Linked DNA regions of Nothobranchius furzeri. The protein of the gene in region 5 binds, or shares a complex with, the protein of the main gene of each other region. Links are inferred from orthologs where the notes say so. Each region holds a gene or a part of one and is shown on either strand. Other genes may lie near its edges. The genes, in order: cc2d2a, b9d2, tmem231, b9d1 and transmembrane protein 237B.

Region 1 (6,414 bases), on a different chromosome or scaffold from region 5:
TTGTGCTCAGATGATTATTTTTACTTGTTCTAAAACATTCACTCTGGTTTTCTGCACCTGCTTAAGAGCGATGAAGCTCACCTGGTTCAAAATGCAGATGACTTGTTTGTCATTGATCATTCTCCTCAAGACTTCCTGGTAGTGAAGAAGGCTGAATATGTCAGTTACCACACACGTATTCAGCAGGAGAGTGAACTGTTCACACCGAGCTTTCGAACTGGTAAAACATGTGATTCACACTGGTGACGTACAGCCGGCTGCTCGTTACCTGGAACCGTGTCTTTATGATTCGTTGTGTTGCAGTGCCAGCTTCGGTCAAACTGCCTGAAAACATGAAGCCTCGCTTCCTGGAGGAGGAGGGTCTCTACGTGGGAAAGAGGCCCGCCATATCTCTGACCAATGAGAACATTCTAGAGAACCGCCTTTTGAAAATGGACGAGGTGTCAGCTTGCTGCTCTGCTCAAACAAATAACTGTCCTCATTTTGATGTTAATATTCAAACGTGTTTTTGTGATGTTTGTTTCTCCTGAAGGGAAGGAAGTGGTTTGGAGATGATGGGAGGATCATCACTCTGCCTGACCCTGTGAAAGAATCGTCCACGCGACCGCCACTGGCTGACATGGAGGAGGACCTTCATCCTGCACTGCAAACTGTTTACCGGAGGGTAGTTTTAGTTACCAAGAAATGAAACCGCAGGGTTAATAAAAGGAAGATTTTTCATTTTTGCTGTTTTTATTAGGCTTCCCTTTAGTAAAGATTTATTCCTATAAGTAGGAATAATAGGAGTCCATCCGCTGTACTGGCAGGCTGTAATTAGATCATTCTTGCTAACGGACAGGGACAAAGGGCAGATTTAGAGAAAATGCAACGCATTCAGAATCTTTTAATATACAAATGCTTCTGTAGTTTAATTGATCTCATCTTTAATCATAAACACACAAACAGACATGCAGTTAAAAACAAATGCTGAGAGTTTTGTTGTGCAGCGAATGCTGGATAATGTTGTTATCTCTGCTGTCTCTCAGCCGCTGAAGTCCATGTACGGTTCATCAGACCCCACGGGGGACTACCAGATCGATGTCAATGTGTCGGGGCTGATCTTCTCCCATCACCCTCTCTTCAGCCGTGAACACGTGCTGGCAGCTCGTCTAGCTCACCTGTTCGACCAGTATCTCACCAGGAGGCAGAGTAATCTCTCAGGACACCTCACTGACAAGGTAGACTTCACCAGATACTGTGGAGAGGTTACCACGGCCGTACCACAATGCTTTGACACAGCTGAGTGTTTGTGTCCGCTTTAGTTGAATGGTTTAAGGAATGCTTTGAGGAATGTGGTGAAGGTCCACGGTGATCAGGACCTCCCTCAGGCCCTTCAGAGGAGGATTTTTGAGTACAGCCTTGAAGTGAGGTGAGGTGGCTCATTTATGGGCCACTCCCATCGGTACCGGGCCGACCCGGGACCGATGGGAGTGGCCCATTAGATCCTAATATGTCCAGAAACATGTTGGACAGAGTTGGCAGAGTTTCCCATGAACGTTCCAGGAATACTCGACACCTGAGAGATATGGAGCAGGAGAAGGACAGAACTCTGCTAAAGAACATCATCAAAGTGTGGAAGGAGATCAAAGCTCTGAGAGAATTTCAGACATTTACTAACACACCATACAAGCTCTACCTCAGAAGGTAAGCTCTCCTGTTCCAGCCAACCCTGACTGAAAACATCATTTAGAAATTTCCTTCAGTTTTCTATTATAAATCTTAACAGAATTATGTTAATTATACTTATTGCAGCAGTCTGAAAGGTTTTCTATTCATACCATAAATGTGCTGCTTTGTTTCTTGATGCTTCAGAGAGAACGTGGACCTGGCTGCAGATGAGCACATGTACGAGGAGGAAATCCTGACAGAAGCTTTGGAGATAGAGGCAGAGCATGAGGAGGACTACCAGAAGAAGCTGGCAGAGTACAAGAAACAGCAGGAGGAGTGGAAGCGCTGGAGGAAGAAGCAGGTGTCTGACTACTGCTGCTGGAACCATCACAAACACCGTGGAGTAAAATAAGGCCAGCCTTGTTCTTGTAGGATTGCATATTTATTTTTGCACATATTTTTATATCCCATGTTTTCAGAAAGCCAAAAAGAAGAAGAAAAAGAAGAAGAAACGAGGTCAGACACAGGATGATACAGACGAGGAAGATCAAGACCAGGAAGGGAGCGAATCAGAAGGACCCTTTGAGGAAGGTCCTCCTAAACCAGAACCCCCCGAGAGGCCGGACTTTGACTCCATAGAGCAATGGGTGAGAGAAAAAGCCTCGAGGATACGCAGGAAGCCAGGAGAGGTCATTCTGACCCCAGAGCTGTCTGCATCAGGAAGCATCACACCCAGTGAACTCTGTCCCAGGTAAACCGTATTCATCACAAACTGCAACACCCCTTTAACTGGCACGTTTCATGTATTTATGGAAATGTTAGTCGATGGCATGAGAAGACTGCTTATTGTAGTACTTTACATGCTTTTATCCTGTTTGTTATGCTCTCTCGTTTAAGGGCTGAGGTTGCTCGAAGAGAAGATGTTTCCAAGCGATCGCTTTTCATCAAAGTCCTGTACAATGACAAGGAAGTTTCCCGAACAGGCAGCTGCTCCCTGAGATCTGACTTCAGGGTGCAGTTCACCCAGCTGTTCCACCTCAAGATCCTTAACTGTCCCCAGAGCATGAATCTGCAGGTGGAGTAGAGGAACTCTGAATGCACCGCAAGGTTGTTACTGCTGCAGCTGCAGTCTGTTTCTCATCAGTTCTGTGTGTGTGTGTGTGTGTGTGTGTGTGTGTGTGTGTGTGTGTGTGTGTGTGTGTGCGTGTGTGTGTGTGTGTGTGTGTGTGTGTGTGTGTGTGTGCGTGTGTGTGTGTGTGTGTCTGCGTGTGTGTGTGTGTGTGTGTGTGTGTGTGTGTGTCTGCGTGTGTGTGTGTGTGCGTGTGTGTGTGTGTGTGTGTGTGTGTGTGTGTGTGTGTGTGTGTGTGTGTGTGTGTCTGCGTGTGTGTGTGTGTGTGTGTGTGTGTGTGTGTGTGTGTGTGTGTGTGTGTGTGTGTGTGTGTGTGTGTGTGTGTGTGTGCGTGTGTGTGTTGTGTGCAGGTGTTTGAGCAGATTGGATCATCCTCCTCCCTCCTGGCTCAGGTGTTTGTTCCGGTACCAGAACCCTCAGTGGTTACAGGCAGCGCTCCTGTGGAGACGTTTGAGTTTAGCAGCAACCAAAGAGTCATGTTTGATCATGAAGGAGTAGGAAGTGGTAAATACTGTTGTTCATTTCTGCTTCACTCGCATATGTACAGTGCCGTGTAACATTCCTGTTCCCAACAAGTGTTCCTGTTAAGATTTACTAACAGGATCATTTTCAGTCAACTATGGTGTGCAGTGTCCTTAAAGTTCTCGTTCACTGAGAAACTATAATACTTGTTTTTGGAAACAGTCTGTCATGCTGAGTTTCACATGCAAGCTGATCATGAAAATAGTTTCTACCCCTATTTCCTGCATTACTCTGCCGATAGAAAACAGACTGTGTGGTAAAGCCGTACAGATCTACGTCACAGGGGAAAACTGCCTCGCCCTTCTTGGCTTGCCACCACCCACAGAAAAGCTGTATTGATTTAGCATCCAGGAGAGAGCAGAGCACATGTCAGCTAGTAGAAGCTAATCATTAGCATCTTCACAACGTGGCAGAACCTCTTCAGGCTTGTGTTGTTTGTGGAGAGAAATCATCATTTGTTACCCAAGTAAGAAGAAGGATTGAAGGCAGCAGAAGAGTCAAGTTACTGTTAGCCAATCAGAGGCAAGATGTTGGCATATCATGAATATTAATGAGTAAGTCTCCAAATCCTGCTGCGCCACCCACCCACACACACACACAGCTTCTACACTAAACAGCATACAACATTTTAATCCATACTGTAGGCCTCGGCAGATTTATAGAACAAATGATTGAATGAGAACTTTCAAAAATGAAGGCAGAGTCTGAAAGATCTTAAAACTTGCAGATTTATAGTTTAGGACTGTCAGAAATGATTGAACTAAGCAGTAGTTCAAGTCTCTTAAAGCGAGGTTTTGTTGAAATGTTACGATCGATCGACGTCTTACTTGTAGCTATGAACAGCTTCAGTTAGGAGTAACAGAGATTGGTTTTGACTAAACATTTACAAACGTTCCTAAAACTTCACAGCAGTTTATGCAGATGCTATTTTATAACCTTTACCATGCCATCATTTTTCACATTTGAAGTATTTTCTGGCTGAAATGTCATAAATTCAAGCCAGGAAGAAACTGGTCTCCTTAGTTTTAGAGTCACCGCTGAGTTTGATGTGAATAGCTGTTTAATATAAAATATATGGTGATGTAAATGTTTATGAAATAGCACTTACATGAGCTGCTAGTGTTTTAGATTAGTGTTGTTTAAAGATGACACAAACACTTTGTAATTGGCCCTACTCATACTAGCTGTTAGCTCATCGATCTGAACTGACCTGTGTTCCTGAAAACTGAAATAGTTACCTTTAACAGGACATATGCCAACTGTTTATCCTTTTCACGAAATCTCACTTGAGACCCTCTGAGCTGTCCCTTTAAGGTTTTAATCTCAACTCTAGTCTCTGTCCAAGTATAAACTGGATTTTATGGGGGCATGGGACATTTTCATGACCCTCCTTGTCCTTCCTTGCTCTGCGCCTCCTCAGATGTGCCGCTGTCCTTTGAGCCTGATGGAAGCAACAAAGTGATCCTGCTGACCTCTGGGAAGCTGGCATGCTGCGTTTCCTGGGGGATCGGGGAAGATGATGTACCGCGCGCTCCTCCTGTTTCCCAGCAGCTAGGTGCTGCACACAGGTAGTCTCTCTAGGAGAGATCCACTGGTTTAGATTCTTTACCAGTGGGGTTCTTAAACTGGGATCTCTGACGATCACAGGTGTGATCAAAGTTTTTCTGCACAGATGTACGTAGTCATAATTACACTGATCTACTGAGTGTGTGAGTGCATGCATCAGAAACGCTGCTATACACACACGTGTGTTTGACTGTACTTACTGTGATTTTTGGACTGCAGAGAATAGAATAATAATGGAAAGGCTGCATTCAGATTTGGGGCAGCAGTAGCTCAGGTGGCAGAGCGGGTTGCCTCATGATCGGAGGGTCATGGGTTCGATTCCAGCTCCCGCCAGGGGTATCCTGCTGTTGAGTCCTTGGGCAAGACACTTCACCCAACTTGCCTGTGTTAGTGGTGGTCAGAGGGGCCGACGGCGCCAAATGGCAGCCTCGCCTCTGTCAGACCTCCCCAGGGCGGCTGTGGCTACAAGTAGCTTACCATCACTAGCAGTGTGTGAATGTGAGAGTGTGTGAAAGCGTCTTTGGGTGTCTAGAAAAGCGCTATATAAGTTCAATGCATTATTATTATTATTATTATTATTATTATTCATAAATCTGTTGTGTTTTCCTGTAAGACAGCATTTAGTCTAGAAGTACAGCAACTAGCAAACACTATGAACACCATGTGGTATAAAGATGTTGGAGTTGGAAAATGATGAAATGTGGAGCCATAAAATATTTCATCTGCAGATGAAACAACCCAGTTACACGGCCCAGGTTTCAGGAGGACGTGTGTTTCCTGCTTTAGTTACTGATATTTACACATGCCTTCAGCTCCTCTCAGAAAGACGTATGGAAGCTTCAAGATTCTTTGAATGTTTTAGGAAAAGGTTTAGCGCTCGTGACTTTTGGGAATGCTGCTGAAGTGACCAGGAAGAAAAGGTTTGGAGCAACTGGTCCCAGGTGTCAGTTTTCCAGCAGTAGTAAATCCCACAGAGCACCCGTGACACAGAAGAGTCCATCATTGACTTTGGCTCTAAACATTTGGGCTCGCCTACACTAGCAAGCCACCTGAGCAGGCTTTGTTTCTGTGATGTTAACTCTAATCAACCCGATGTCTCAGTGGTTTGGGGCATCTGGACGCAGTCACTTATATCGGTGCATCTGGACTGTACGACATGAAGAAGATTAGTGAGTGGGCCACACAGTCACGACTGGATCCCAATGATCCAAACAATGCCTCCATCATGCAGCTGCTAAAGGTGAGCAGCAGAACCATTCTGTTGGTGCTGAAGATGGCTCAAAAGGAACCCGGCTGTGACGAGGAAGCTGTTGGTGTGTTGACAGGTGGCCAGCAGCGGGGAGGTGACCGCTCCGGACTACTTCCGTCTGGAACACCTGCAGGAGGAATTTAATTTTGCGACTGATGAAGAGATGGAGAAATCCAAACGATTCCGCCTGCTCAGGCTGAGGCACCAGGGAGTCCCCGAGTTCCGCAACTACAAATTTGTTCCTGCGTTCTCCAGTGAGACGTCAGAGGAGGTGTTCAAGGTCAGAGTCTGGCAGATACAC
Region 2 (5,930 bases), on a different chromosome or scaffold from region 5:
TAGCTTGCATATGAAACTGAGTTATTTCAATAATAACAAGTAAAAATACGATGTCACTGTGAACTTGTTTTTTAAAACAGAAATCCAGTCTTTTCTCAGGGGGCATCATCTAGACACAGAAAACAGTATTGCACGTTAAGCCCCTCTTCAGCTAAAGCACATTGTTTTCCTATTATTATTATTCTCATGTTATATTGTTTATTATTTTCTATATATTAAATATTTACTTGTCAATAAGAAATGTCGCCAACTCTGCATCAGTCTAGGTACTTCTGCAAATGCACACAACGCTCTGTGATTGGCATCTGTACATAAGTGCAGGGTTTCCCCCAGTGCTTTAAAAGCCTGGCGGCCCGCCAGGCTAAGCGTCATGCCCCGCCCCCCTCCCCGACCCTACCGTGTCCGCTAACATGAACGGCGCAACGAAACTAGAGCTGTCCATCAGCTGATACTGGTGAGAAACAGCAGAAGAACGTGTGCAACCCCCCGCCTCTGACGGCCGAATCTGCCAGGCTTAACTCATTTTCTGGGGGAAACCCTGAAGTGGCTGTCTAACACTATTAGCTAATGCTGATCGACGCTCAAGCCAAACTGCATGGGGCTTTTTGTGATGAGGGTGTTAGCAAAATGAAAAACTAATGCATTGCCTAAATATCTTACAGAAAAGGGTAAGACTATCACATTTACACATTTCTAAAAAAAAAAAAATCATACATAATTCAGGCTAAGGGCGAAAACTCCAAACTGCTGCTTTAAAGATAATTAAATGTCTTTTATCTTTTGTTACCAGGGTAGTGCTGAAGCATCTTATGGGATCTGATGTCCCACACCTTCACAGAGTGGTCGGTGCTCGCTGCAGCAATGCAAGTTCCACTGGGATGAAAGTCCACATAGTTTGCAAAACTATGGGAAAAACGAGAAAGCAATTAGATCCAAACATATAATTTAAAATGCATCTGAACAAGTTCCACACTTTTAAACATGAGCTGAAGTTCCTTGTTATGTTCTAGTTCCATAGTTTTTCTGTTCTTATCTTGTACACAGAGTAGAAAATTTTCTGTTTTTTTTTTACCTTGTTTACTGACAGTTTCGGCATCAGCAAACATGGTAAAAAAGAACAGAAACTTTGCTACTCTGTGTACAAGATAAGAACAGAAAACTTATTAAAGTTAGAATATTGAATATTTTAATAAAAAGCTATATTTAAAAAATATTTAATTCCTCTGCGGGGTGTTCAGAGGTGTGCAGAATGGGTGTACAGTTTCTCCTTTTAAAGCTATACATAAAAAGAAAAATAACCCAATTTTGATTCTGTCGGCACGACATTGCATTTATGTTTACATCTACCAGCCACTAGAGGGCACCGTTGCGCTAAAAAGTCCACTCAGCAAGGTGAGGTTGGGACGGTGTAAAATGGCAGACTTGACAAGTCAAGCAGCTGAATCTGAGCCCAGAAGATGTTCTAACGGTAAATACTGTTGTAAAATAAACTTATTAGTAGAAATCAGTTCTGATCCTGTATGATTTGTCTCTGAACTTGGTGCTGGAACGTGTCAGCAGTGAACCAACATCCCAGCAGCTGGAAAATGTGTCCTGTTGTTGCAATACCACCTTTGAACACCAGAGTTTGCCAGATTGTCCATGTTCCATAGTCAAACTTTAAATGAGCTAAAATTCAATACTGTAAGATTTACCTTTAAATACACTTCAGATAAAAATATTAGACATATCTTCATACTTCTACTCTTTCTTGTGCACTCATCAATACATTTTTTATACATCTCGAGCTCACCCAGCATGTTCAAAGAAAGAATGAATGCACTCTCTGCTGTTCTTGTCCCATAGCTTTATAGTTCTATCATCACTGCAGGACACAATTAAACGATCATCTGGAGAAAACCTGGAGAAAAGCACATTAAAATTTTAAAATTAAACATTTGAGAGGAAAAGTGTAAAAAAAAAAGGTGAAAACTTGACATCACATATTAAATTTTTTAAACACTTGTACAACACTTTACTCATCATTACAAATATCACAGGGAAACTTGCATGGTGTGGTATTAAATGGGAGTGTGTGTGTTTCATACTTGGCACAGCGGACCCAGTTGATGTGCTGGTTAAGAGAGAAGAGGAACTTCTGCCTGTGGACCGTCCACACTTTGATTGTTTTGTCATTAGACGCTGTGACCAGGCTCTGTCCATCACCGGAGAAGTTAACACAACGCACAGTGGCAGTGTGAGCCCTGAATTCAGTTGAATCAGCCTTCCTGCAAACACAAAAGGTATTATTCATACATAAAGCAGACAAACACACTGTTTATTCAGGGCGCTGGTATGATGAAATTAGAGTAATCAGCAGATCTTGTTCTTTTGCCTTTAGGAATCCACAGCTTTGTCTTGAGTGATAATTTCTGGAGAAACTTGATGAGAAGAAAACAACATAAAATGCTGCTACGTATAAACTTACATGCTGGGCACCCAGAGACGTACAGTTTTGTCTCTAGAGGCCGAGGCCACAAGGTGACCAGATGGAGAAAACTGGACAGAGTTTACAGCTTCTCTGTGTCCATCGAAACGATAAGCTCTCATCTGAGGCTTCAAGTTCCAGATCATCACACAAGAATCCATAGAGCCTGTGACTGAGAAAGGAGGAAGCACAAGCTGGTTGAAGCAAGAGATTGGTATTAACTACAATGTGCACACAACAAACTGGATAACAGGTGAATATATAGACGGACAAAGGCTCAGATCAAATAATAATAATATTACCAATTTGTTTCATGTTGCGGCTGAAGTCCACACTTGTCACGACGTCCCTGTGACCCTTGAAATTTCTCTCTAGGGTTGGATCAGACTATGATGAAATCAACAGAGATTTTCAATTATTTTACAAGTTTATGTTTGGAAATTATTTTTTCATTTGTTTTATGACCACTTTTGTTATTAAATGATATTTTCTTCTTTTTTGTATTTTATGTTTTATTTTTTATGTAATTTTCATTGAAGAACTTCATGATTTTCTTTTCTACAATAGGTTCTATATAAATAAATTTTACTTTCTTTAGTTATCCATTGAGTTATATAAAAGTTGCAAGATGAACAGTCATCAGGAAAAGCAGGAGAAAGCATATCTAAATAAATAGCTTTTTAGAATTTATAACCTTAAAAAATAAAGCACCATTGAGATGTAAACAATACATTAAAAAGTACAGTGCACTTCATTTGCCATCTTGTTGAACTTGCGCTGTTAAATAGTTATTCGGAAAAAAGTAAACCAGCGGTTCTTGTATACCCTTTATTCAGTCTTTCAGGTATGATTGTAATTTATGTAACAGCTGCTTCACGTCATTAATTAAATTGGTTAAAATTCGTAATTAGTTTACTAAATTAAAGGTTAAGTAATATTTTTTTAGCAAGAAGATATAAAAATGTGTCTCATTTGCCTTCAAAAATAGAACCAGCCCTAGACAGGAAGTGCTGCCTGACAGACTCTGCTCAGGGAGTGCTGTATTAAGAGCACACTATGGCAGGCTGGGTTACCAAGGAGACGTGAGCTGCGTTTGTTGCTCTGTAGCCTTTGATAAAAGCGGGCTCCGTGTGTCGCATGTTCTGGTTAAAGCGGACAGCTGTGAAATGGCAGAGCTTCACATTATAGGACAGATCATCGGGGCCAGCGGGTTTCCTCAAAAAAGCCTATTTTGCAAATGGGAAGTTCATACGGGGGGAGCATGGCGTCTTCTCTCGGGGCTGAAGGAGGGTCAGACTCAGGTGGATTCCCCCCACAGCGGAGAAATGGCTTACTGGAGCCACCCAATTGATCTGCACTATGCGACCAAAGGTCTCCAGGGCTGGCCGAAGCTTCATCTGCAAGTGTGGCACCAGGACTCATTCGGCCGCTACCAGCTGTACGGATACGGGTACTGCCACGTTCCCTCCAGCCCCGGACATCACCGCATAAGCTGTGTGACATGGAGGCCGCTCGGCTCCTGGCAAGAGCAGCTAGCACGAATATTTGTCGGCGGAGGCCCCCAGCTCCGCAACCCGGATCTGATTTACAGTGGAGCGGACAGATACAGACTGCACACCGAGGCCATGGGCACTGTGAATCTGGAGCTGGGCGTCATCATAAGACACTTTGACAAACATGGCGTCGAGAGCTGAGACGTCAAATAAGAATGTTGTATTGATTGTTTTCTTATAAAAAGTTTGTTTTGTCGCAAATGCCTTTGAAAAATTACACACGGCAAAGTTTTGTACATTTCTATGCTGATGTTTTTACACCTGAAATACAGCTATAAATAAACACTTATCATTGAAGTTGGTTTCTTATTCATCTACCGTTTACCATCAATCCAACTATACCTAATATTTCATATTTGTAACGTTATGAATATTTGAACATGTGTGTGTGTGTGTGTGCGTTAACCAAAACAAGTAGTCTACTACAAATCAGACACGAACTTCCTCAGTTGCTACAGTAACAAGTGCTAGCCAAACTCACCAGTGCAGAAGTCATTTTTCCCGGTATTTAGCACGTACACCCGAGTAAAGAGGCTCGTTGCTGCTTTGGCTATTATGACCGAAATACAATTGTTCTCAACTGTGGGTTTTGAAATGAACAGAGGGAGGAAAATATCGCTCCGGTAATTGGAATTGTTTTTTCTAATGCTAGCTGCTAACAACAGAGTTCAGTTTACGCGCCGTGATTGGGCGCTGAGCTGTTGGCCAGAGTCCTTAAAGGGGACGCTGGACATTAAAGGACGTTTGTGTCGAAAAAAGACTTCAATCAAATGTAAAAACGATGAATAACAAAATAAGAAGTTCCGGATTGTACAAGCAGTTATTTTCTTTTGCACAACAAATCCAAATGACCAAGGGGCACACGAGTGTAGTAACCAAATATGACCACAAGATGTCAGTAGCGGTGCAGTGATGTTTTGGAACAAATGTTTTTTTTTTTTTTTTTGCATTGACGGGGAAAAAACATCCAAATTAAACAATTGGATGGTCTTTTTGCAGAAGTCAGTAGCTTAATTCTAAAATAACAAAATAGCCCAATACAGAAGTTACAGTATAAAATATTTTCTATGCACTCCTAAGAAATTGGAATATGCGGAGATACATGCACATAAAAAGTAAAAAATCTTTCCATTATGAGCTGTAGGAACATTTTACTTCCTTCAAGGCCCTTTCTTCTGCTTATTTGTGTTTAAAATATGACTTAACACATAATAATATACACAATTCAACAGTAAACCATCAAGACATGAGTCTTTTTAGCCTCTCAATTTGTTGTCTGCTGGGTAATACAGCTGAGAGCATCACTTTAGTAAATATGCCTCATGTTGCCATAGCTTATAGAGAGGTAACCTGACTGAATATAGGTCAGATGGTCTTACTGAACTGTAAAATATCTTGTTTCGTATTCTTCAGCTTGTTTTAAATGAAACAAACACAAAAACAAAAAGATAAAAACCACAAATTTTTAGAGCCAATACAAATTATGTTTTTTGATTGCAACTTTTTCAGGATGTAACCGTCTCTGTTGACCATCTCAACATAAACATTGACTTAAGTTCAATCTCCCTTTAGACTGCTCCATCTGTAAGGTTAGTGTGTCACATGACAAGACACACCACAAATGGTTTCATAACTCCGTAACTTTGATCATGTTGCTGTGACATCACTGAATGAATATGTGTTTTGTGTTTTTATACCTTGTATGTTGTCATGACTGTTTTTAGAATGTTGTGACATACTATTAAGGGGAACCAGAATCCTGAAAATGGTGATCACATACTCCTTGAGTCAAGGTTAAGTTAGAAGCTGCATGTGAGGGATGTGAAGAGTTCGTGTACCCAGTTGTGTCTTTTACAAAACCAAAACGCAATGGGTCATTTTGCTTCACTTGTTGATCATCGACAAACTCC
Region 3 (6,024 bases), on a different chromosome or scaffold from region 5:
AGATTGATACAGGTTTTCAGTTCTTGTACAGATCTGACCAGCAGGTGCTGAATATCTTATACTTTAGACAACCCCAACTTTTGCTAAATCATATGGAGAAACTCTGAAAAGCAGTTATGTTCAGCAACAAAGGCTGCAGAACTTTAGTTGATCATCTTTGAGCCAGAAACCTGCTTGTGCAGCTAAGTCTCATTCTCATTTTACACATACCTCTCAGTAGGTAATTTGCAGTTTTTTTTTTACCCTGAAGGTATTTAATTCTCCAAGTAGCTTTCTACAGATTCCCACTCTTAACCCTGTTGCAAAACAAAACTAATAAATCTGGAAAACTCATCTAATATTTACCAATCAGCATCCATTTTGGCTCATGTGATATTTAGACACTGCCAATAAACTAGTTCACTTATTGAAAACATACACAAATTTCTCTTAAAATTAAGAATTTTTTGCATTAAGATTTGAAAATGTGCTCCATAACTTGTGATTTTAGCACGACCAATAAAGCAACATGGCAACGTCAAGTTCTTGTCAATGTCTGGAAATCTCACTTGTGTTAATCCACCAGATTTTACAGGAAACGTTCCTGTTCACAAACTTAATATGGAAACAAAAACACATGGTTTACTCCGCAGATCACCTTAGCTTGTGAGATTTATAATCTCGACAACAACTCGAGAGCTTCTTTACAAAACCTTCAGTTGCTGAGATGATAAAGTTTTATAGCAGCAATAAAAATAAAAGAGTAACTTACCTGATAACAGTGCTTTCACACATTGTTTTACAGCATCTAGTCTAAATGACAGCTTTGTTTCTTTTTTTAACACACCACTGACTGTTTCCAATTGTCATTTACCTAAAAAAAACAACGTTTAAAATATTTGACCATGTTGAAAATGATTATTTTGGATGTCAAAGACATTTTCATGGAAGAGCTGTTATTGCCCGTGTGAATTAGCTTAGTGGACGTTCACGAGAAGATGAGGTGGAGAAAGGAGTTGAGTGGAACTGTATCTGACGCTCTGAGCAGATAGAGTTCACTGCTTTAGTTTCTTCTCATTTCAGGTTTCTGGATAAAACGAAGCATTTACGAAGAACAGCCGGTTGTGAGGTTCCAGTACGAGACTTTGCTGTTAGCAGCAACCAGTGCTCAAGGACATTATGTTGCCTGGAGCACTTTCCCTTTCCTTAACAACATGCTTGGGACCAACCTACGTATCCCCACTATCTCTGTAAGAAAACTCAACGTTCCTCTCCCTTAAGTTATTTCTGAATCACTGGTAAAATCTCTGCAGCTTTGATTTCATATTTTACACCTAAAAGGCTGAGACTGACTGCCAACCAGAGCAGGATGAATACTGTTGAAGTAAAAAACATGCTGGTGCTCAGCCAGCCAGCAGTGAGTCAGAACACAGAAAATTCACATAAAAGACTTAATAGGTGCTTAATATTTGTGAAAGTGAAAACATAAAGAAACCAGAAAAAGCTAAAACACATTTTTACTCTAAAGGAGGATCATTCATTTCCACGAGTCTCTTGTGCCTCTGCAAGATTGTCTTTTGTAATTATGTATTTTTGTTTTGTAAATGAAAATTGTGTTTTGTTTTCATAAAGGTGAGAGAGGAGGACCTGAACCAGGATGGGAAACTGGACCGTTTGAACCTGCAACTGCAGCTTCCGCTGAAACCTGATGAACAAGTTTACAGCATTCAGCTGCTGCTCACCTTCAGCTACCAGCTCTTTGTATGTATCCCACTCCAGTAGCCGTCTCACAAAGAGCTCTTTCCATGCAGAGGAAGAGGATTTTTATTTGTGTCCAACGTGCTTTGAAGAAATATTTCAGCCACTTCGTCTTTGCATTAAAGGGACATTATGGAAGTGTGACAGCCAAAACATGTATAGAAATAATAAATGTCTTCTTCATACATTCTCCTGCAATGCCCTGGTCCTGTAGAATGAGCCCTGGCATTTTTACTGTGATTGCCTGTTTTTATGTAAAATCACAGAAAAAGAGAGATGCTCGGGTCGAGCAGGCTGCTTCATGCGCGTTCACGCTCAGGCATCGCCCGTAGCGTTTGCTATCCGTAGCTTTAGCAGCAGAGAGAGAGGCAGTGCCACTTTGTCGCTGTTCCTAACGCCTAGTGACAAAGCTAGCTACATTTCTGAGGACCCTTAGCTACTTTCTGTAGAACTTTCTTCTAGATATTTCCTGCTAATTAGCAACAAAATAGCCATTTTCACTCCGAACCGTTCTTTGAACGTTGTTTCAGCTGTCATCAAGGATATAAATGTTAGACAGTCTGAATGTTACTAGAGTGTAGCTCACCTTGTAAGATATCTGACTCTCGTGCAGAAGACCTGGGTTTGATTCTGGATGTGAACATAGTTTATTTAGAGTTTATTTTTTACATTAATGGTATATTTTTTACAGTAAGATGCCCAAATTTTTATTTGAGACTCGCTGAACGGCATTGAATTCACAGATAAAAAAGATGTGGGTTCAACTTTCATTTTGGAACAATTTTTCAAGCAAGGGAAGGGAATGATCTGAGCATGCAGGAGGACTGACCCGTCATAAACCTTTGTCGGCTGTGCTGAAGAGAAAGGTACAGAACCAAATTATTTAATTAATTATCTGTGTGTTCTTTTGTCCTCCGGGCCACACACACACACCTACACACACACACACGGGACTGTCTCAGCTGTTATTTTCGTTAAGGAGTGTGCACGTACAGCGTGCACGCCTCGTGTACGAGCCTACTACTGAAGCTGCTGTTATGCTTTTGGCCTGAGGGGGCAATCGCAGGCATTAAAATTCAAAAGTCCGAAAAGTCCCTTTAAATTATTGTTGTTTAATTTAATAGTCAGAGCATTTCTATTTCTCTGGTTTCTGCTAGCGGATGTCGACAGTGGTGATGCAGAGTCTGGCTTATGTGCAGCACTCCTCACCTGTACCTGGAGTTAAACTGTTCATCAGTGGAGACCTGAGGCTTCAGCAGAGGACACCGCTTCCTCATCGGGGCCTGTACAACATCTACAATGTGAGAATAGTGTTTATTCCTTATTTATATTAATTTATCCATCCATTGTCTATACCCGCTTGTCCATGCGGGGTCGTGGGGGGGCTGGTGCCTATCTCCAGCAGTCTCTGGGCAAGTAGGCGGGGTACACCCTGGACAGGTTTCCAGTCCATCACAGGACAAACAACCATGCACACACACCTGCGGGCAGTTTAGAAAACCAATCAGCGTGACAGTCGTGTTTTTAGACTGTGGGAGGAAGCCAGAGTACGCAGAGACACCACACATGCACAGGGAGAACATGCAAGCTCCATGCAGAAAGACCTCAGGTTGGGATTTGAACCCAGGACCTGCTGCAAGGCAACAGCGCTAGCCACTGCTCCACTGTGCAGCCCTATGTTAAATTAATATGTTAAAGTATTATTTTTTGTGTTTACTGACCTAAAGGTGTCAGTGATCGATGGCACCAGCCCCTTTGCAAGTTCCTATGACCTCAGCAACATTATCAGGAGCTACCAGGAGAGAAACGGTAAGTAAGCAGAGGGATTTATTCTCTGCCGACGCCCACGGTCTCGGGTTTTGTATAATGAAGTATTTATAATTTTATAATTGTCTTTTCTTTTTTATTTAGTAACAACTGTGCTGTCTTGTCCAATGCCAGTGTGGACTATAGGACATGCTGCTGGTTCACCTTTTGAGCTTAACGCTGAAATCCGCTACCCGCTGGAGCTCATCAGATATCCTTTCATATCTAAAAGATCACCAAAAGGTGTTGTCTTGTGACTGATTTACCTTTTCGTCTTTAGGAGACGGATTACATAAACCATGACTCAGAGTTATAATTCTTCTAACGTTTTCTTAACTGCCTCCCTCCACTTATCGTCCTGGCTTCTGGGAAACCATCAAGTTTGCTTGGATCCAGTATGTCAGCGTTCTCCTCATCTTCTTGTGGGTCTTCAAACGCATCCAGAGATTTGTCTTTCAGAACCAGGTTGTAACAACCGTACCCATACCTGTAGGAAAACCTCACCTGTCGTGATGCAGAGCTGAAAGTTTATCTTTTAGGTTTTGACCAGATGACACCTTTTGTCAATTTGCTTCATGTCTGTAATGTTTGTTCTTTGGACTTCTCGTTGTTGATTCAGCTATATGTTATTGTCTAATCTGTTTATTCTGTAGGCTTAAGCATTCTAAAAGATGTTGTTATAAGATCATATACATCCTGATCTGCATCGGGGAACAAACTGTTCTTCTTTGTCACATTAAAACAACTTACACATCGTAGATATTACAAATCCTATGTTAAATTACGTGAGTTTCAACAGTTTAGTAACTTTTTTCATCTTATGTAGATTTTTCAACTTTTTTCTTATTTTTAAATCATTAAAAAAATTTTGTTTGATTTTAGCGGCTCAGTTGTAAAGAACATAAGGATATATTTTCTATATTGTTGTTTTTTTTTACACATTTGAAACTGGTTTTGACAAAAATAAAGACTTTTTAAACTTATTATAGCTTTACTGGGTATTTATTAAACAACGTGTGAAAGGAATGAGTCGTTTGGAACTATCATGAGTAAAATAGGAGTTCTCGTATTAAAGCTGTTAAAGCACAACTTCTTTCCTAGGATTAGTTTTTAATCACGTGTTTGTGCTTGATGAAAAAGATTCAGTGGTCAAATAATGTAAAAACTAATTTTCACAGACAAAACTTCAAACATGTAAGCAGGCTTATCCCTATAGTGAACACAGTGGTGGCAGCATTATGGTGTGGGGGTTGTTAAGAAGCAGAATGAAAGAGACTGTTGAGAACTGAGGCCTAAGTAAATGCAGCCAAATCCTATAATCCTCTGCCTCTCCTAAAATAAAATAAATCTGTGAAGATGACAGCTCTGGTTTTCATTTTGAGAGTGTTGTGGATTCTTAAAAAATTCATGCAGCAGACTAAAGACTTGATTCAGCTAATTTCCGTTCTCTACTTTGTCTTCTGGAATCCTGACACATTCTGTTTATGGCGGCAAACGGATGATGCACATTCAGAACGGGGGATATTGTAATCTGCTGTGTTTTAGAAACTAGAATTTATTTCCTCTCAGGAGGTGCTTGGCAGCGTATAAATGCATGTTTGTTTCTGGGATGTGAGGGTGTGTTTGGGTCCGGTTCCACATGTGTTAGATCACTGAAACGTCCCAGCTCTGGTTCAGGGTGGGACAGCTACAAGAGTTACACCCATCTAATTACAACAGCTTCAACATTTTAGAAAAATGTGTATCTACTGTACTTTAGACAACCCCAACTTGCAAAATCTTTTTGAGAAAGTCTCAAAAGCAAATTTGTTTAGAACTTTATTTGCTTATCTTTGAGCCAGTAACCACCTTGATCCCTCCTGCTTGTGCAGCTAAGTCTCATTCTCATTTTACACACACCTCTCAGTAGGTAGTTTGCAGGTTTTTTTACCTGAAGGTATTTAATTCTCTAAGTAGCTTTCTACAGATTCCCACTCTTAAAACAAAACTAATAAATCTGGAAAAGTCATCTAATATTTACCAATCAGCATCCATTTTGGCTCATGTGATATTTAGACACTGCCAATAAACTAGTTAACTTGTTGAAAACATACACAAATTTCTCTTAAAATGAAGAATTTTTGCATTAAGATTTGAAAATGTGCTCCATAACTTGTGATTTTAGCACGACCAATAAAGCAACATGGCAACGTCAAGTTCTTGTCGAGGTCTGGAAATCTCACTTGTGTTAATCCACCAGATTTTACAGGAAACGTTCCTGTTCACAAACTTCATATGGAAACAAAAACACATGGTTTACTCCGCAGATCACCTTAGCTTGTGAGATTTATAATCTCGACAGCAACTCGAGAGCTTCTTTACAAAACCTTCAGTTGCTGAGATGATAAAGTTTTATAGCAGCAATAAAAAAAGATTATCTTACCTGATAACAGTGCTTTCACACATTGTTATGCACAGCATCTAGTCTAAATGACAGCTTTG
Region 4 (7,032 bases), on a different chromosome or scaffold from region 5:
TTGTGCGAATTGTGCATCATTCTTTCCACTTTGCTTGGTAGTAATATTGCGGTAATTGTCTGCCTCATAAACGGCGATTGCACCTTGGCGCAACAGAGGGAGGCGTCATGGTGACGTGGGGAGTTACTGCCGAGCTCCGGCTGGCAACTATTTTTGAAAATGAAAGTAAATACGAGCAAAATGAGCTGAGACTGAAAACTGGAGCACTGCAGCGATCCTGGGGCTTCTCTCCGTTTGAGCTAGTGGTCAGATCACCTGAGGCTGCACGGGGGCTGTGGGGGACAGGCACTATTAGGAGCGGCTTGTCAAAAAAACGTAATGAGCCGGGCTTCGATCACAATAAAAAGCACGTTTCGTCCAAGTTAAGCAGAAGTCCATGGCAGTACAGGGGTCTCCCTCGTACCCTGTTTATGCCACCATCACATAATCTTTTGTAAAAAAGAACACGATTGCACCACATTACCGCCACGGTCTGACCACTTATGAACAACCTACGGCTCCCAGATGCCGCCACAGCGTTGTGGCAAATTGACAGCATTGTTTTGTAAAAACGGTTAAAGAAAAGCCCAAATCAGAATTGTCTAAAGCCATTTAAAGCGAGGGGAGTTTTCCTTTCTAATGTCGCTACATGCTTGCTGTAAAGTCTCTCACACAAGTCAGTGACTCGGTGCAATCTGCTAGGTTTCCTTACATTTAATTAATAGACATAATGACTTGAACTCAATCAGAATTAGTGATGCACCAATATGAAATGTTTGGGCCGATACCGATATCCGATATAAAGATCACTGTTATGGCCGATAACCGATATTTGCCGATACTGAAAAACTGACATTAATGCTTCTAAAATCAGCAGATTTTGTATAGAATGAAAATGATTAAAGCTGATTTTACGTTATTATGTACACACAACACACACATGTACGCTTCTGATATGATTACATCCACTGTGCACATGACTAAACAACCACACATCACCCCTCACCCTCTGAAACAGGCAAACAAATGGAGATGAGATGGAAAAAATATCGGTTGTTAATATCGGCTCGCTTTTATTTATCGAACCGATACTGATATGTTAAAAATGACTAACATTGGCCGATACTGATATTGATGCCGATATATTGTCCATCCCTAATCGCAATGTTTACTTTGTGAAGTGCCCAGAGACAACTCTTGGCGCTGTATTGGTAAACTGAACTAAATTGAGCCAAACAAGGATCACTGATTGGCCTGACCAAGAGTTGTTTAGGCCACAGAGTGTGGGTAGACCGACCTGCAGGGTAAAATATTTTTGAACCGCATTGGTTTGTCTAGTTTTCTAGGCTTATGCTCTCAGAACTTGCCTTCCCTGTCTTCCTGTCATAGATTCAACAAGGTGTTGGAACCCGTCCTCAGAGATTCTGGTCCATGTCATCCCACTTTTACATCCATGAGGGGAATCTCCCATTCCACCACATCCCAAAGATTCTGGACCAGACTGAGATTTGGTAACTGGAACCCATGGTCATGTTCCAGATCCAGTTAGAGATTATCTAATCTTTGTGACATGGTGCATGATCCTGCTGGAAGTAGCCATCAGAAGATGGGTCCAAGTGGTCAGAAAGGGTTAGGCTAGATTTCTAAATGCATCGAGTTCCTGCCATATGATCGCGAAGATCAAAAAAGAGCTGGAGGTGAAAAAGTGATACAGGTGCTGAGCTTGGCAGACAAAATGGGAGATAAAAGGAAGCAGGTGCAATAAGAGCTGCTGTTTATGGAGCTGCAAAGGTCAGAAGACTTGGGGTGGGCCCTGGAGACAGCAGGAAGCACTGTGTGGGAGAGAGCTGAGAGAAGAGCAAAAAAAAAAAGGTTGCTGGGTATGAAACAGCTGAAAGAAAGAGCTGTTTTTGTCACATCTGAAACAAAACACAGTATTTAGACACACGTGCCAGAGGGGTTTACATACTTTGGAATGCAGATTTTTTGGTTTCATTCATTTCTGATTTTCAAGCATGTGGCGCAGTAGGAAAAGCAGACATCCATGTTTATATACAGCACTGGAGGTGTCCAGTTAGCTGGAAATTTTAAGTTAGGCTTCTTGTTTTGGATGTTGTTTTGTTTCAGTTATTGTTGAACAGACATTGCAGTCCTTTGGGCCTACAAAACAATAAAACGATGGTTGAGAAATAACATTTTCAGGGCTGGTAATAAGGTTAAAAAACGATTTTCAAACATGTTTGGTCGTGAAGTGATTTCAGTCGTGAATGAGAACGAACCTGCATTTTTAAAAGTCAGTGTATTTGATTTTGCTACCCTCTAGTGGACGCCTAGACAATTAAACCAGAGTTTTTATATTGTTTCTCCGCCTTCTTTTCTCCTTTTAATAAACTTCGGGTGTTTATAAAAATAAGTATTTTGACTGAATTTCTTGAATTACTTTTTGCTCTATTTAAAATTAATTTTAACACGTGATGGCCCAATATCACCAATAAGAATTGCGTTTAATTTTATCCAAACCGGTAGCCATAGGGAGGAGTAAACGTTGCCTTAGCAACAACCTCGGATCGCTTCAGACTGACCAAATTAGCTCGACTTATTTAACAGACTTTTACTTTCTTGAACCTCTGGAGTCACGATGGCAACAAACAACCCGAGCGTGTTCCTCCTCACGGTGAACGGGCAGATTGAGGGAGCGAACGTAAGTCGTCTTTTTAGCTAGTTTTAGCTTAGCTGCTAGCGTTAGCATTAGCAACAATGGCTCGTTTGGTGCTTCATCCGGGATGTTCCGGGTTGTTTATGGTGATGTTTGTCTTTTATTTCAGTTTCCAGAGCATGACAATCTGTACTGCAAATATTGTTACGTGTACGGCCACGACTGGGCTCCAACCACAGTGAGTATTACAACCATTAGCATTTAGGATGAAACATGAAGTATGCTTGTTGGGTACCACTTTACAATACTAATACATTTATTATAGTGATGTTATTAATGTTTTCAACGTTTTAAAGCCATTAAGTGTTTATTATGCACGAATTAAGGGTGAGAATGAGACTAAACTGGCCGGATTCTTGCCGGTATACTTCTACTAGACTGTATGTATTACACAGATCAGACTGCTATATAAACAATTTATTAGCATATTATAAAAACATAACTATCACATGACGTCAAAAGTGTAAAAAACATGTAACTTTCTGAAATGTTTTAATATAGAAACTAGAGGAAATATATGGGTGATCAGATATGGCTCACTATTGGGCAAGATGTCTCTTTTCCACTCTTCGTTCATGTAAAATAAACGTCTTGGGTTCTGAGAGCACTTATTGTGCATTTTTAATTTTCATCTATCTGTTCTGGATTTGTAAGACCTCAGAAATATATTATTTAAAGCAAATACTAACTGATAATGGATTTTTTTTAGCTCTAAATTAAAAATAATTAATTACGTTTCCTTGAGTAATAATACAATTTTGTAAGATATAAACAAAATGATATCTCAAGGCTTTTTCCACATATGTGGATGCTGTGTTTACAGATGGGTTCATAACAATAAACCTTATTGTTAAAGATGTTCAATATGCTTTTTTTTACGGATAATACTACGTTTGAACACGAACCCACACAGATGCAGACAGTAACAAACGAAACCTCAGATCAGCCATATTTTGATGTGTTTGAGGAGTTTGATGTATAATGTGAGCATGTTATGCAAAGGTTGTGTCATTCAAACAGTAAAAAAGATAACTCAACGATGTTACATTTTAATGCCAATATCGGACGATGGTATTGCCCAATAACGTCAGACGTGACTTTCAAGGATACAGAACAGGGTTTATAGATAGTTAATGCAGCGGTGGCTGGATGGAGTTGTGTTGTAACGAATGTGACTCTCCAGGGACTGGAAGAAGGAATAACTCAAATAACCTGCAAAAACAGTCAGACACAGAGATTAGTCTGGAACTTTCCTCTGGAGACGACGTTTAAGAGCACAAATCCTTTTGGGTGTGAGTAGATCACAATTTCATCATCATCATCATCATCATGTGTGACTCTTTAGGATTAACGCCGTTTGTCCCCCAGGGCCTCAGCTGGTGGTGAGTGTGTACGGACCAGATGTGTTTGGTAACGATGTGGTCAGAGGCTATGGAGCAACGCACATCCCCTTCACACCTGGACAGTCAGTATTACTTTCATGTTTGACCTAAAAGCATACAGAATGTGTTACTTCGGTTTGAAGATACAGATCTGAATGTTTTTCACTTGTCAGACATAAAAGATCCATCCCCATGTTCGTTCCCGAGCCCACGTGGAGACTTCAGAAGTTCACAGGGTGAGATCGGTCTCCTTAGCTGTTGGAAACCCGTGATCTTTAGAGGAACAGTAAATATTTCATCTTCCTCTCATGTGGAACGCAAGCTTCCAACACAAACACACGTTTTAAAGGTTCATTTTTGACTAATCTTTGTCACGTTTGGATACTTTAGATTCACACTCGGGCTTGTTTGATGTTGCTCTCAGTCTTTTTAGTGTTTTTCTTTTCATTTTTACCATGAAAACTGAATATTAATGTGATTATTATTAGATCTGATGGAGTTTTTTGCCATTTTGAGGAGCGTTTTGTGTAAAACTTACTAATTATCTGGTCAGAGAAACAGACTGTGCATCCTAGAGGACTGATGAGCCACATCCAGGCCTCTAAATGTCATAGATCGCCATGTGAGGTCATTTCACTGCTGTCAGGTTCTCATCACATAGACATTTTAGCAGAAATATGAATAAATTCCTGCAGGACCTGACCCCTGATGCACCAGAAATGCTAGTTTATTGGGGATGTTTACATTTGTAAAGAATGTGATGAACCACAGTGAGCTTTAGCAGACCTGTGCCGTTTTAGGACAGCAGCAACTGGGACTAGCCATTAGCACGGCCTTCGTGAAGGATGCAAATTATTCAGGAAGCTGTGAACTGTTTCAGAGAAACACGCTAAAAGATCCTATTTCTGTTCAGCTGGCTGCTGGGGCGGCGGCCCGAGTACACAGACCCTAAGGTCGTGGCCCAGGGTGAAGGCAGAGAAGGTTAGTGGTGCTTTTTCTTCTTTTACCTTTCTAGAATAAAACTTTTAACATATATATATTTTTCCGTTTCAGTGACAAGAGTTTGTTCCCAAGGCTCTGTAACCGTCTCCTTTCACATCATGAGTAAAGACATGAAGAAGATGGGCTACGACGTGGGACCGTCACACGTCCACTCTGCCACGCCGGACTGAGCCACACCAACTCCTCCACGTGGATTTAGAGCAGTCAGCCACAACCTCTGAACTCTGAGCTGACTCGCCTTTTGGAAAACAACCAGTCAGAAACCGACACAGGAACACTAGAGGGGCTGATAAATGGATGCTCTGACTGTAGTTATCTTCTCACGGAGGTCACATGGGAAGGTGGAGTCTGGATGATGCTGTGATTGATCCTAAAGCTGGCATCTGACTGAGCTGTAGGGAAAACATGGAGTCACCTGGAACGGGTTCCTATGAAACTTTGACCATATCAGTCATGAATTTCAGGTTTTTTCACTAAATGAAACTAAACTCGGCTTTTCCAGACACCTCTAAATAAACTCACACAGCACCATTAGTCGTTTTCTGCTCTCGACAAACATGCCAGTGGTCGTAATGTAATGCTGATCCAGTGGTTATTCCTGTCATCCTTTAAATATGTAACGTCTCTTTTCTGAGTTGTGCTGATTTGTATTTGACTAAGTCAGGGGTGTCCAATCCTGGTCCTGGAGGGCCGGTAACCAGCAGGTTTTGTGGTTTTTCTGATTCAAACCGCTTGATTAGCTGGTTGAATCACCTGTGCAGCAGCTCATCAGGCTCTGCAGAAGCCTGTTTATCACCTGCTGATTGAAATCAGGTGTGTTGAAGCAGGTTAAAACAAAAATGTGCTGGACACCGGCCCTCGAGGACCAGGATTGGACACACCTGGACTAAGTAAATCTGAGTGGTGCTGACCAGTAATGTTGCAGACTGAAACAGGAAGTGAAACACAATTTATTTTGAACTGATGCAGCTACAGTCGTCCTCGTCCAACAGGGTGCTGCCCGCGCTCGTTTGTTTTAGGTGCCGTTAAAATACCACAATGACTTTTCCTACAAAAATAATAAACCCATTACACAGAATAATAAGGTATACAGAAGAACAGTATGTTACAATAGTACAAATGATAAATTATATTATACAGTTGTAATGCCATCGGGTTTAGCACAAATGAAAAACAAACAAACAAAACCAAGCAGCCTGCTCCCAGTACTACACACAGGGCAACTAGACGAGACATGAAGGAATAAACGAGTCATTTTATGCCAACAAAAACAAAAAAAAGCCCATAAATTCATTTAGTTAGTCCTTTTGATAAAAGCTCGGTGAATATATGACACGTTTTACTGAAACATAGCCACTCCTTTTTAGATAAACTGCATAAAGTTTCCCATAAATATACGACTAGAGTTTAAGGTCTGATTAAAGATGAGCGAGAATCCCAGAATCCAATTTTTTTTTTTTTGCATATTTTTAGTGGGGATTAAAAATGCTTGCTGTTCTCTAAGTAATATAGTTCAAACCACTAATTCAAGATATCAAGCTAAAAAAAGAAAAAGCCTCCTTTGTGCCTGAGAGAAGCGGTGGAAACATCCAGTCCTGCAGCGAAGCACCAAGCCACACGGGGGCGCCATGCCACAGAAACAAACACTGGCAGTTCAATCAAAACCAACCCAGCATCACAAAGGTTAAAGAATGAAGACAAGTCGACACAACGTGCTATTTATCTTCAGCCTCCTTTTGTTTTTCTACCAGAAGAAGAGATGCAGCAAACACCCGGCCTCATTAAACAGTTTAGTAATCGTCTCTTATACCACGTGGTGGTCAAGCGTGACCCCACGGTTGTAAATATTCCACATCGGGCAGAAACCAGTCGCTACGACTTTGGTAACAGTTGTGCTTTTAGGAGAATGACATAGCCTACCCAGAGGGTGAGAAAAAAAACAAAAAAAGATGA
Region 5 (5,850 bases):
TTCTGTTTTGGCCTGTACCGTGTTGCTTCCGTGCAACTCCCGTTATGGTGGGCGAACGTTACGCTGCCGTTGGAGGGATGCACGCGGAATGTTTCGCTGCCGTGTGTCTCCCGTTAGAGCTGGGCGGGGAGGGGGAGGGAGGATTTCGTAGCCGTGGCGCAGCGCCACACCTGGACCTATGCCTGTAACTATAATTATTTATTAAGGACAACTTAAAAAAGTTACATTTCCTCCAACATTCTAAAGCTTCAACTTAAAAATGTCTGGTTTGATTTGGTAAAATATTTACATCAGCTAAAAAAAATCTAACTTAATTTCTTTGATTTGGAACATCCTGTAATAATTGATTTGCTTCAGCCGCTAACTTTAGTTCACGTGAAGTAAAAAAATTGAGGTTACACAAAAACATTTATTACATCAAGTCAATGCAAAATTATTAGGTGTGGCAGAACACGTTTTTTAAGTTGAGGCAGTGCACATTTTTTCCAGTGTATGACAAACAAAAGCTTAATAAATAAAACTAATAAAGTGTCTCTGCTTTTAATACACCGATTCTTACTGACTCAGATGGTGCACCTCAGGGATCAGTCCTCGGTCCTATTCTGAAACTGCCATATTACGCAATATTTTCAAATAAATTCTGGCTGTGTTGACGGTTTCTTTTTGTCACTTTGGAATGATTTATTTGTTCAAAGGCATTTTGAGGTCAAACGAATGAAAATGTGTCTTTGTTTTCTGCAGAAAGGACAACGAGCCCTTCCCACAATGCCCAGGTAGTAAAACAGCTTTTGTTTGGGAAGTTTCTGTGAAACAGCAGAAAGAACTTTAACTAAACTTTTTCTTTTGTCTCTTTTTTGAAGTCAACACACAACAGGTGGGTCAGAGGTTCCTATAAACACATTTTATGACTATTTATTTTGATGGATTTTACTCATATTCAATATATTAACAGATCTGCCAGTCCCAAAACGGAAGAAGAAGAAGATGAGGAAGGATACGAATGGAATGAATGAGAAAGGAGGTGAGAAGCAAACATCAGGAGAGAATAAACAGTTCATTGAACGATTTTACAGCTTTTTCTTTGGGGTAGACTTTTATCTGACGTTTGCCTAAAGACGTATTTTCATGTTGGATTTTTTTCACTACTTATTAAGGCCAATTTTCTGTAGAGTGATTATTGAATCATCTTAGAACAAGACAGATGTCTTTGTGTTGGAATTTTTAGCAAAATGTCTTTTGACTTTGACTTATTTCTCAGATCAAGCAGTGGAGATGGGAGGAGTCAGCAGCCGGCGGGCGTCCCAGGTCAACGATCAGTTGATCCTCGAAACCACGATAGACACGTCAACACACTGGAGAAGGAAGAAGAAGAAAGCTGCATCGATAGGTCAGATCAGAAGACTTCTGTTCTGCAGTTTCGCCTGCAGACGCCCGCTGTGATTGCTCAGATGTACTTTACATCTGGGTTTCAGATCTAGAGGACGATCAGGCCGAACTCGGTGATGGAGACGCTGGAGATCAGACCACAGATGGGGAGGAAATGATCAAAAAACCCAAAAGAAAAAAGTATTTTTTACTAAGCAGTCAGTCAACTGTACCCAGTTTACACATTTGAGCATCAGTGTGTTTGGTGTCAGCTGATCAGATGCGTCAGATTTTAATTCCAAGTTAGATAGAATTCAAGCAGAGCTGTTTTAACAAAAACACGAAGTTACAGCAGATCTCAGCAAAGATGCGTCTCTTTCAGGAAATCAAAAGTAGCTGAGTCGCAACTTCCTGATGAGTTTGAAGTTGAAGAAGAGGACATCATCACTGACACCAGTCCAGTCCCCCAGCAGTCCTTGTTCTCAGCCCCGCAGGTTCAGAGCCAGTCAGTGGGGAAGGTGTTCATTGAGAGGAACAGTGAGTGTCTGGGAAAACGAGCGTTGAAGTGTTGTTCTCGCTAAACATCATGTTTATGTGCAGAGCGGTTCCAGGCTGCAGAACGCTCAGACTGGAGAACCACCAGTGAGCAAACGGACAACATGGCCGACTTCCAGCAGGTGCAGCCTCTGTGGACCACCAGAGACGTGTCTGTCAGAGTCCACGAAGGATTCAGGTGAAGGAAAATGTCTCCTTAACAGTAAATTATAAACATAAACGTAGAGTAACGTTCTAGTGTGTTTCAGGGTGTTCGGTGTGTATTGTCAGGGCTTCCTGGCCGGCTACACCGTGTGGAACGTGGTGGTGGTGTACATGCTGGCCGGGCAGCAGCTCACAGCTCTCACCAACCTGCTGGAGCAGTACCAATACCTGGCGTACCCGTCCCAGTCCCTGCTCTACATGCTGCTGGTCATCAGCACCGTGGCCGCCTTTGACAGGTTAGGGTTAGGTCCTCCCACTGGGGATGTTTAGAAAATTCAAACATGTTACAGGAATGCAAAAGGCAAGTACACATGAATGAATTTTGATTGGTAGAAATTCTCGTGAAATCAGCCACAACCATCGAGCCAAACGTACCAAAAGGATCATAAAATATATTCAGGATTTCAGGACAAACCTAAAGCTAAAAACTTCCTGAGTCTCCTTTTGAAAACAAAAAATAAACATAAGGAAACATCAAAGCAAAACCTGGTGTTTTATCTCAGACAGTGCCGTCTTGTGGCAGGAAAATATATTACACCTTTAAGCCCCTCTCACTGCTTCTCTGATTTCAGCTGTAAGCAACGCCTCTTGGTCGTGAGCGTGCACCCCTAGCCGGCTCAGTTTCATTCAACATTTTCGGACCTCTCGCATCTGATTGGTTAACAGCAACCCAGCTCTTCGCCGTTTGCTCAGCAACGTTGATGTTTCATCTCCACAAATAACTGGAGGAATTCTGCCGTGTTGTGGAGTTGCCAATGCTAATGGTTAGCTTCTACTAGTCAAGATGTGCTTTTCTTTCTCCGGGACGCTAAAGCAACAACAGCCACATTGTCAGCGTGACGTAGATCTGACCGGCTTTTCTAATGCGAGCGTTTCCTCGTCTATTTTCTATCAACGGCCAATGCAGGAAATGGGGTAGGAGTCTGTTTTCACGTAGCCATATTTGACCGCAGGATACGTAAATCTACTCACCAAACACAACGAAGCTTGAATATTTCTTCTGTTTGTCGTTGTGCTCAGACTGAATCTGGCCCACGTTTCCGTGGCTCTGCGGGAGTTTGTGACGCTCAGTCCAGTGGCTCTCGCTTCATTCTGTGAGTCCAAGTCATTTCCTCATAGATTATTCACCAATCTGATATCTGCTTGGTTTACCGTTCTGTTTTATTTTCTTCAGTGTATTTTTCAGCACTGGTCCTCTGTCTGAGCCAGCAGATGACCAGCGATCGAATCAACCTCTACTCGCCCGTCAACGCTACGTTATGGTGAGTCCACCACAGCAATCTCATGTTTACAGCTCGGCGTCTGGGCCGTGGAGGAAGTTCAGTCTGTCATTGCTGGGTTGCTGGTTTGAACCCAGATTCTGTACTGCAGGTCTCCTGGATCAGAGCACCAGATTCTTCACCCATGGGTAACCATCAACCTGGTGGTGGCTCTGCTGGGGGGGTTGGCTTGGATCTTGATTGCCATCAGCTCTGAGACAGATTACACTGAGGGTGAGAAACCAACACACAAACTCTAAGTACCCTAACTTAAAACGGAGACATCTAATGTAATTTTCATTCTTCAGGTTATCTGAGGTCCATGGATATTGAACCTCCAAAGCCAGAAGAGAAGTCAGAAATCACTGCCTGAAAAAAGAAATTCTGTCCATCTGCTTTCAGTAGCAGGTCTGTTAGCGCCCTGCACATATTTCTCTGGTTGAGTTATATGTTGTTTCTGTAATGTGGTTGTTTCTTTGTAAATAAAGTTATTTTAACAAAACCGTCAAGTGTTTCTTTATAACTAACAAAATCAAATAGAAGTAAAATATTTAAATTCCTCAATTACCACTATACAAATACAAAAATAAAACATAATATTTAGATTTTAACATTCAATAAAAAAGAGAGTCAAATGCATCCAGTGTAAAGTAGTTCTGTCTCATATAAAATAGAATATAAAAGCTTTTAAAGTCAACACATGGCATATGAGGAAACTACAGATGCAGCTTCCCTCATTCATCGATATAATGAAATATTTAAATCAACATAATGGGATCGATAGAGCATTTTGTATTGTCTGTTCTCCTTGATCTCAGCAGCACTTGACACTATTTCCCACAGCACCCTCCTCAGCAGTCTGTCATCTAGAGATTCAACAGAAGTCATTCAAATCCAATCGTTGGTGTGCCCCAGGGCTCTGTCCTGGGGCTCCTTTTTTCATAATTTAGCTCCTCCCTCTAGGTTACATCTTCCATAAACACAAAATTAAATTTCATTGTCACGCCAATGACACCCAGCTCTACCGCTCAACCAAACCCACAACTTCACTTGCACCCTCCTCTATATATCTGTCGATGGCCCTCCTCCCTGACCCTCTGACTCCAAGAAATTCATTCCTGGTTCACTTCCAATTTCCTCAAACTCAACAGTTCTAGAACTAAAGATCTCCTCGTAGGCACGCCTAATACTCTCTCCAAACAGTTTCCCCATCACTATTGACAATTCAACAGTTACTCCGTCTCATGTTAAGTCTCTTCTTAACATGAGGGTCTCTTAAGGGTGTCATCTTCGACAGCACACTTTCTTTTCAAACTCACATCATCAATATTACCTGGTCTGCCTATTTTCACCTGCGTAGCATCTCCCGTCTCCGTCCATCACTTATCCCTCACACCACTGATATCCTTGTCCACAGCCTCGCCACATCCAGGAGAGATTACTGAAACTCACTTCTGTTTGGTCTCCCCAGCAAATCCCTCCATAAACTGCAGCTTCTACAGAATACTGCAGCACGTGTCAACACTAGGACTCGTCCCCCCCCCCCCCCCCCCCCCCCCATTCTGCAACAACTTCATTGGTTACCCATCAAACAGAGAGTCAATTTCAAAACTCTGCTCATCACATTCAAAGCTCTCAACAACATTTCTCCATCCTACATATCCTATCTCCTTCAAATCGCCACTCCTGTCCGTTCACTTCGTTCCTCTTCTGCTCCTCAGCTCGCCTCGTCACCATGGGAAGTAGAGCATTCAGCCGCTCTGCTCCCCACCTCTGGAATTCTCTTGCCCCTGACCTTTGCACCACTCATTCTCTCCCTCTTTTTAAATCAAAACTAAAACCCCACCTCTTCTGAAAAGCCTTTAGCTCCTAGTTAAATTTCACAGTTTTTTTTACTTTTATTTTTAAATTTAAATAGTGTTTTAGATATTTTTGTACTATGTTTATGTTGTTTGATTTTATCTCCACTGTTGTAAAGTGTCCTTGGGTGTCATGAAAGACATTTTAAAATAAAAATTATCATTATTATTATTATTATTATTACTATTTATTTATTTATTTTTACAGGTAAACAGTGTATTTCACTGTTAAAGAAGGATTACATCAGGATAAAATAACAGTAAAGAGCTAAATATGTCAGCTAAAATTATATTAATTAAAAAGACAAGAGGAAGAAGTTTAATAGTCAAAGTGCACGGAAACAATCATGCATCGATCGATTATTTCTGGGTTTGACTGCCTTCTGTGACTGTCCAGGCTGTGTAGTTGAACACTGATAAGCAATGTTGACGTGGTAACCATACACATTCTATATGGTGGTGAAAATCTTTAGTTTACTTGAAAAAGGGTTAGTAACGCAAATATGCTGGACTTTGCCATCTTTGCGGTGACGTTTGTCATAATTTTAGTCGGTGCTGTTCTTTATTTGTACCCGGTAAGTCACCGCGATATCTACATTAGCATCGTT

Evidence for each region.
Region 1: transmembrane protein 237B (region 5) and cc2d2a share a complex: the UniProt entries of both Homo sapiens proteins name them as parts of the tectonic-like complex. The link is inferred for Nothobranchius furzeri from reciprocal best matches to the Homo sapiens genes TMEM237 and CC2D2A.
Region 2: transmembrane protein 237B (region 5) and b9d2 share a complex: the UniProt entries of both Homo sapiens proteins name them as parts of the tectonic-like complex. The link is inferred for Nothobranchius furzeri from reciprocal best matches to the Homo sapiens genes TMEM237 and B9D2.
Region 3: transmembrane protein 237B (region 5) and tmem231 share a complex: the UniProt entries of both Homo sapiens proteins name them as parts of the tectonic-like complex. The link is inferred for Nothobranchius furzeri from reciprocal best matches to the Homo sapiens genes TMEM237 and TMEM231.
Region 4: transmembrane protein 237B (region 5) and b9d1 share a complex: the UniProt entries of both Homo sapiens proteins name them as parts of the tectonic-like complex. The link is inferred for Nothobranchius furzeri from reciprocal best matches to the Homo sapiens genes TMEM237 and B9D1.

What each region holds. Positions count from the first base shown.
Region 1 is NC_091748.1:39,033,694-39,040,107, forward strand, and holds part of cc2d2a (coiled-coil and C2 domain-containing protein 2A), read left to right. Parts: intron 1-66; coding exon 67-220; intron 221-303; coding exon 304-440; intron 441-532; coding exon 533-664; intron 665-1,025; coding exon 1,026-1,217; intron 1,218-1,301; coding exon 1,302-1,408; intron 1,409-1,542; coding exon 1,543-1,683; intron 1,684-1,851; coding exon 1,852-2,008; intron 2,009-2,126; coding exon 2,127-2,398; intron 2,399-2,544; coding exon 2,545-2,722; intron 2,723-3,126; coding exon 3,127-3,280; intron 3,281-4,718; coding exon 4,719-4,866; intron 4,867-5,965; coding exon 5,966-6,104; intron 6,105-6,189; coding exon 6,190-6,393; intron 6,394-6,414. UniProt on the Homo sapiens protein: Component of the tectonic-like complex, a complex localized at the transition zone of primary cilia and acting as a barrier that prevents diffusion of transmembrane proteins between the cilia and plasma membranes.
Region 2 is NC_091743.1:62,502,054-62,507,983, reverse strand, and holds b9d2 (B9 domain-containing protein 2), read left to right. Parts: upstream 1-3,195; 5' UTR 3,196-3,633; coding exon 3,634-4,161; 3' UTR 4,162-4,317; downstream 4,318-5,930. Other genes in the region: poc1a (POC1 centriolar protein homolog A), read right to left, coding at 788-903, 1,793-1,900, 2,088-2,267, 2,468-2,639, 2,770-2,854, 4,502-4,516. UniProt on the Homo sapiens protein: Component of the tectonic-like complex, a complex localized at the transition zone of primary cilia and acting as a barrier that prevents diffusion of transmembrane proteins between the cilia and plasma membranes.
Region 3 is NC_091744.1:86,203,212-86,209,235, forward strand, and holds the end of tmem231 (transmembrane protein 231), read left to right. Parts: intron 1-1,062; coding exon 1,063-1,229; intron 1,230-1,611; coding exon 1,612-1,740; intron 1,741-2,894; coding exon 2,895-3,038; intron 3,039-3,464; coding exon 3,465-3,546; intron 3,547-3,648; coding exon 3,649-3,754; intron 3,755-3,893; coding exon 3,894-4,056; 3' UTR 4,057-4,526; downstream 4,527-6,024. UniProt on the Homo sapiens protein: Transmembrane component of the tectonic-like complex, a complex localized at the transition zone of primary cilia and acting as a barrier that prevents diffusion of transmembrane proteins between the cilia and plasma membranes.
Region 4 is NC_091752.1:49,446,866-49,453,897, forward strand, and holds b9d1 (B9 domain-containing protein 1), read left to right. Parts: upstream 1-2,428; 5' UTR 2,429-2,617; coding exon 2,618-2,680; intron 2,681-2,804; coding exon 2,805-2,873; intron 2,874-3,878; coding exon 3,879-3,987; intron 3,988-4,063; coding exon 4,064-4,160; intron 4,161-4,250; coding exon 4,251-4,313; intron 4,314-4,990; coding exon 4,991-5,058; intron 5,059-5,130; coding exon 5,131-5,249; 3' UTR 5,250-5,707; downstream 5,708-7,032. UniProt on the Homo sapiens protein: Component of the tectonic-like complex, a complex localized at the transition zone of primary cilia and acting as a barrier that prevents diffusion of transmembrane proteins between the cilia and plasma membranes.
Region 5 is NC_091742.1:64,214,716-64,220,565, reverse strand, and holds the end of transmembrane protein 237B, read left to right. Parts: intron 1-741; coding exon 742-773; intron 774-860; coding exon 861-874; intron 875-952; coding exon 953-1,021; intron 1,022-1,258; coding exon 1,259-1,387; intron 1,388-1,472; coding exon 1,473-1,566; intron 1,567-1,747; coding exon 1,748-1,902; intron 1,903-1,965; coding exon 1,966-2,098; intron 2,099-2,168; coding exon 2,169-2,360; intron 2,361-3,144; coding exon 3,145-3,218; intron 3,219-3,298; coding exon 3,299-3,386; intron 3,387-3,495; coding exon 3,496-3,617; intron 3,618-3,691; coding exon 3,692-3,756; 3' UTR 3,757-3,886; downstream 3,887-5,850. Other genes in the region: cyp20a1 (cytochrome P450 20A1), read left to right, coding at 5,746-5,817. UniProt on the Homo sapiens protein: Component of the transition zone in primary cilia. Required for ciliogenesis.